Linked DNA regions of Saccharomyces cerevisiae S288C. The protein of the gene in region 1 interacts with the protein of each later gene in a biochemical or structural test. Each region holds a gene or a part of one and is shown in the gene's direction. Other genes may lie near its edges.

Region 1 (3,365 bases):
AACAAGCTGCCCAAAAAGGTAAAATACAGAAACAAGTATTACCAGCATTAGGATGTTAGTATATTGTTCATCAGAAAATGTTCGAGGCATAACTTTGAAAAACCAAACGATAGTCACCCAAAGTAAAGTGCCAAAAAAAACACCGGATAACAAAGGTGACCTTAACAAGGTAACGTTGTGGACACCCATTCGTCCATATGACGGCAGAACGAATTTGTTCAAGCCTTTGTTAGTGGCAATGGCCAATAAAAAAAGGACAATGATTACAAACAAAGGGTTAATATGAGAGAAAAGAGCAAATGCGATTCCTAGAAATAGAAATGGCGTTATGAATGTAACGAGCTTAGCATGTTGACTTTTTTTGAACCATTTTTTAATGGGATAACCATGGTAGTCGAATCCAGAATGTGTTAGAGCCTCTCTAAGTGAGTACACAGTGTTCATTTCTTGAGCAATAGCAAAGCAATCTTTTCCGGTATCCGTTTTTTGGAAAAAATCTGCACCATCTTGAATCAAGTATTTTAGTACATGTGGTTGCCCTTTTACAGTGCCCCAGTGCAGTGGGGTGAATCCTTCTGTATCTGCGATCTTTATGCTGGCACCAAATTTCAACAATTCTGCTACAGTTAGGGAATCTCCCTGGTAAGCAGCCCATAGTAGTGAAGTTCTGCCCTTTGGGTCTCGGCAATCTATATCTAAAAGACCTTTGCTGACAACGTTGAATAAAACGTATAGAACTAGCATTATATTTGAGCTGTTCACAGATAAGTGTAGTAGATTGAAACCTTGGTCATCGGTCATGGTGGGATCAGCTCCATGCTTAAGCAAAAAATCGACAATGTACACGTACCCATACCTTGCAGCCCAATGTAATGGTGTGGCATGCAAAGCACCAGCCCTTGCATTGACATCAGCGCCTTGTGAAACTAGAAAATCCACTACAGAAAGTCTGTTATTAATACTTGCCCAATGCAAACCAGTGATATGTTCCGTAGAGTCACCGTCGTTATTAACTTCGAGCAACTTTCCATGTATCATTTCTTTGACAGTCGCTAGATCACCTCTTTGGCAAGCGGTATGGTAGCGAGTTAACAGAGGATCTTCTTCGGCCTCATCATTATGATTCACCTGCTCGTTCCCGCTTTCCTCTTCATTTCCTGATCGGATAGCCTTTAATGATGCCAACGAAGTAATTTCGTTAGAATCACCCAGACTAATATCTTCCTGTGAGTCGTTATTGCTAGGATCAACCGTTTGCTCTTCATTCGTCAAGGTCGACGCCCGTGGCACATTCTCTAATTCGTTCACCATCAATTAGCTACTCTGAACAAAGAAGTGTTTTTTTATCTAGACGAAACGGAAATGATATATTCTACTTCGTGGTTTGTAATCTACTAATCGACCGTATATATTCCTCGCTTGCACTTGTGTCTGTACATTACTTCGTTTTATAGATCGTTCAATATGAGGGTGTAATAAGAAAGTACGAAACAATGGGCTGGCTTTATCACCCGGAGTGTAGGGTACGGATGTTTGTGATCAGAGTAACCCAATGCTAAAAGTCGTTCGGAGGAATAAGCAGCAAAACGTGAATTGATAATATTATAGGAGCCAAAGTTCTAACAATGATAACGTCTCAACAGCTACATGAGCTGTCCATATGTGCATCTTCTTGCAAGTAATCAGCCGGTTTTATCACAATTTTTACCCACCGTGATAATCTGAGAGGGCGAAGTAGGTATTAGCCGTTTACATTAGAAAAATAAGGTAGTGGTAATAAAGCACACTACACATCGAAGAAAGAAACAGACACTACTACATCGGTGGGGGGTCATACAATAGAGGACCAAAATGAAGAATGATAATAAGTTGCAAAAGGAAGCACTTATGCGACTATCGCAGCTAAGATTTCCATTTGCCGATGCTCCAAGTATAGTACAAGCGCATCAAAAAGATGAACAAATCCAGGGCCTTTTGATTATGAAAGTGACTGAATTGTGCAAATTGATAAAGAGTCAATTGTTTGTTAACTCTTACCCTAAGGAACTGTCCATATTTGCCAAGCTCCTGTATTTGCTCTTTACTACAGGAAGACGTGGTAGAACGTTAGGTGAGGAATATGTTGACTTGACATACACTAATAGGAAGGGTACCAGACTTGCAGGACGGCTCAAAATGATTGTATTCGCTTTCGCTTATCCTTTATGTCCATATTTCATCACCAAACTATACAAGAAAATAATGAAGAACAACAAGGAAAGTAAAATTGAAGATACTGAAAGTGTTGCCGCGTTTTGTAAGGGCCTTTTAGATTTCATTTTAGACGTACACATGACCCTCTTTTATTTCAAAGGAGCTTTTTACAGTATTTCCAAAAGGATTTTTGGTATGAGATATGTTTTTAAACATATATTGTCAAAAAATGAGGCCAATTTTAGAGAAGAGGGCTCACAAAAGTACAAAGTATTAGGTTATATCCTATTAGCTCAAAATGTTATGAAATGGTACCCTGTCCTAACCTCTACGCTCGGGTCCTGGATTTATGGGAGAAAAAGGACCAATGATTCAATTACTAGGTCGTCTGTTGGTCTACAGGAGCGTTCAGAACATGAATCTATAGAAGGCATACCGAAGGAATCGCAGCTGACTCATATAAATTTGTCAGATAAAAACCAATTGCCATTTATTCCAGAAGCCTCGAGAAAATGCATCCTATGTCTCATGAACATGAGTGATCCTAGCTGCGCGCCATGTGGACATCTATTTTGTTGGAGTTGTCTTATGAGCTGGTGTAAAGAGAGGCCAGAATGCCCCTTGTGCAGACAACACTGTCAACCACAGGAAATTCTGGTCCTGCGGCAATAGAGGAACTAATCAATAATTTGACTACTCTTTTAGCATTGTCCACAGGCCTTTTTCAGAAATAACGCAGACGTCTGAGCAGGAGAAGTAAAACGCGAAGGGGAAATAATGCTTTTTAGTCTTGTAATTATATTAATTAATTAAATAAGTTTTTCTTTATCGGAATTTTATTTAAGACTTTCATTTCTCTAATGCTATTGTCAGTTACAGGTTAGAAATATATTTCCAACTATACACCAATGTGGAATAACAGCTGCTTTTGTTTGCCTTTCTTTTTATTTCCTCCACTAGTTGTGTTCAATTCCCTCAAATTATCGTGCACGTTAGTATCTTGTGTGCTTGACTTTTTACCCCACTGCTTAGGATCAGCAATTTGGGGTCTGTTCAGACCTGGAATTTGCACCTTTGGCTTTGGTGGAGGTAGTTGAGGTAGGTTGAGACTTTTCAATTTATCTTTGCTATTATTTAGAGAAGTAGAAGAGGAACCCTTTTTACTTTCCAAA
Region 2 (3,126 bases), on another chromosome or scaffold:
CATACCAGGTATTCGTAAAATAAAGACATGGCAGCACTATGACGAAGAATATCAACACTGATGCATAGGTGTTGGCGGAGACGTAGAATGGTGTGGCGAAAACAGAGCCGGACATGGCTTGGGAAACCTGGGTGTAGTCAAATGTAATTGGCAACGCACCGAGACCACTTTGAGTACCAAAGATTGTGTTAGCGATGAAATTGTGTCTTGTCTTCGACCCCCATAGGATAACGTTGAAATAGGACAGACCGGTAAAGAGGAATCCAGGTACCCAATACCAGATGAACGATCCGATAAGGACGATTAAGAAGAACCTGTAACGGGGCATCGTCCAACCATTTGCGACTGTCTTTTCAACTTTTCTCGAGTGCAACGAATCAAACAAGGACACTGAAATTAAAGTCTGAGGCCAGATAGAGCTTGCAGGGTTGACGACCCATCTTCTGGTAAGACCTGCAGCACCATAACCAATCATTTGAGATGTCCAAACCAACAAGAACTGATATCCGACATTAAGTTTCATGTTGTAAAAGCTTCCCTGGGCGTTCAAAATGTACATAGCGTATGCAGTAGAGGAAGTAAGCGCCACGGCAATTGTGACCACGGCGTGTTCCTTTTTGGTAAATGGGCCCGGGTTTAAATCGAAAAATGGCACTTTAGAACACTTCCAGTCGGGCAAGAGAGCCAGTATCCTACCAATTGGGTAGCAAACAACTTGTGCAACAAGGAAGTTGATCTCTAGCGATGGATATCTCAGGGAAAAAAATTGATTAACACCGGCGAAAACTACCACAAACACCGTGGTCAAGAACCACGTTCTCCAGTGGTTGAGGCGGATGGTGGGGTCATCCTCGATGGACACCGCCGATCTCACTTCAGGATATGGAGAATTGGGCAAGTATGTAGGGTCGCCCTTCCAAACGAGACCTTCCTCCTGTATGGAATGCCTGTCGAATTTTTGGCTTTCCGGATCGCGGTCCTCCTCATCAGTAGTCGCAGTGAGATTATTGACGTCCTCGTCAATATTCTTAACGAAAGCATCTTTCTTTTCCTCTTCCATATTGATCTGGATAGGAATGGTTGTTGGCGTTGGCGAGGGCTCCGACTCCAACGAGTCGCTCTCCCTATAAATGGTACTCATGTGTTCTGTGACGTTATATAATTGTTGCGGTTATTTTCTGCCACACAGTCGAAAACTTTTTACCAAGAATACACAGCTTCCGATGATTGTCCATATATAGTCGAAACAATTCATTGAATAGCCCAAAATTTGAAAAAAAAAGAAAAATGATGGGCACCCCATGATGATAAGAGCTCTCTTTCTTCAACAACGATTGCTAAGGCGTTTACAGACCCATCGACTGCCCTTGCAGTGGGTTTGATGTGATTAACAGGCAGCAGCAACAAGCAACTGCTGAAAACCTTGGTGCCTTGCAGACGGCTATTGTCCTGGATTTTGTGTGACAAAACGTAGATGTGGCGTCTTGTAGTCGGAGGTGTGGCGGGCCGGAAAAATAGTGGAAAAAAAGAAAATTAATGCGATAGCGACGGGCAGGTAGGGAGGTTTGAGGGGTCCGTAGTATGCGTCTATCGTTGCAACAAGGGTGACTAATGCCATGTCTTGGCCTTTGATGCAACGTCTCGGAAGTTAGTATCGATCCGAGGAGTGGAACGGATGCGATTTCCCCTCCATTCTATCGATAAGGTTGCTGGGAAACGCATTATAAGGGATGAGTGAAGACGGAGGGAAAGCATAACGAGGAGAGATTGCCGAGATAACTGAGAAGACGTAATCTAAAGGCAACGCAGCATGTCTCGAGTTGCACAGCTCGACTCGATAGCGCTTGATAAAGAATTGTATGGACAGTTTTGGTCCGAGTTCAATGCAGCATTCAATACGAGTGAACACAAAGAGGAATGGGAGTTGGCACTGAACACAGTTGTGTTTATGTGCGCGACGAGGTTCCTGCCACACTATGGCTCTAGCTGTACGTATGGATCCGCACTCAGTGGCGTGGTTTTTCAGTGCAGGAAACGCACCTTGTATGTCGTCACTGTCTTGGCAGGGTACGTGTGGAAGAAGATCACACATATTATTTTTAATGGGCCGCACTGTGGGAACCAGATGATGTGGCTGAAGCTGTACAAATGGGTTAATTTATTGTATCACGGCTGTGATGTAACCAACTTCCTGAGGTTTCTAGCAGCGGAAGGGCCCAATGCGAGGGCGTTTTTGTCGCCGTTATACCGGGCTTTTAATGTCCATTCCACAAGGTTGATTCGGGATGGTTCTGCAATTGCCTCTGAATTTTATTCGAACTCTGTATTCGCTGGGTTAGAATACCAGAATAGACAATTGCTATGGAATGCACTATTAGAACTCTTTTCCAATACACTACTTACGAAAAGAGGACTCTTGACCTTTGTTAAAAAACCACCAAGGTCTCGTTCTACGACTACTTATAAGACAGTTTGCCCCCGTTGCGGCGGTTTTCCAACCAACCCATACCAGATCGCTTGTTGTCGTGCGAACTACTGTTACGTGTGCGTTGTAAAGGCGTTGGAGTGGTCTATGTGCGATGCCTGTGGATCCTCTGGGAGACTGACCGCCTCACCAGTGTACTAAAGGGCCCCGTTCCCTCGCTTGTATCTCTATATATGTGTATACTATATTCATATTCATGTTGTCAAAATCGGTCACGTGGTAAAGGGTCTGGTTTTTTTTTTTTCACTTTCTGCTCAAGAAAAAAAAGAAACAATAAAGAAGTGGTATAATATCATCATGGAACGCTGTACGGGACGATGTGGGAAGCGACGTCTGAAATCCAGTAATAATAAACAGTGAGCACTTTAGGATAGCAGTAGTTTGCATTTTGCACGTTTCCCTTTCCATGCAATGTTTTTACCTCGTCTCGTTCGGTACAGGACCGAGAGGTTTATAAAAATGGTACCTACCAGGACCTTGCGACGAATCAACCACAGCAGCAGGGATCCAATTCAAAAACAGGTCTTGGCCCTTATCAAAGCAAATGCGAATTTAAATGACAATGACAAGTTGAAAATACGGAAATATTGGTCTGACATGGCGGACTACAAAAGTCTTCGGAAACAAGAAAATAGCTTACT

The links. Proteins that work in one complex are often made in the same cells at the same time.
Region 2: the proteins of PEX10 (region 1) and PEX2 form a complex in vitro, tested with the Saccharomyces cerevisiae proteins (one study listed by BioGRID).

Annotation. Positions count from the first base shown.
Region 1 is NC_001136.10:997,013-1,000,377, forward strand, and holds PEX10 (ubiquitin-protein ligase peroxin 10), read left to right. Parts: upstream 1-1,851; coding exon 1,852-2,865; downstream 2,866-3,365. Other genes in the region: palmitoyltransferase AKR1, read right to left, coding at 1-1,311; E3 ubiquitin-protein ligase HEL2, read right to left, coding at 3,092-3,365. UniProt on the Saccharomyces cerevisiae protein: E3 ubiquitin-protein ligase component of a retrotranslocation channel required for peroxisome organization by mediating export of the PEX5 receptor from peroxisomes to the cytosol, thereby promoting PEX5 recycling.
Region 2 is NC_001142.9:35,109-38,234, forward strand, and holds PEX2 (ubiquitin-protein ligase peroxin 2), read left to right. Parts: upstream 1-1,810; coding exon 1,811-2,626; downstream 2,627-3,126. Other genes in the region: oligopeptide transporter OPT1, read right to left, coding at 1-1,141; CBP1 (Cbp1p), read left to right, coding at 2,897-3,126. UniProt on the Saccharomyces cerevisiae protein: E3 ubiquitin-protein ligase component of a retrotranslocation channel required for peroxisome organization by mediating export of the PEX5 receptor from peroxisomes to the cytosol, thereby promoting PEX5 recycling.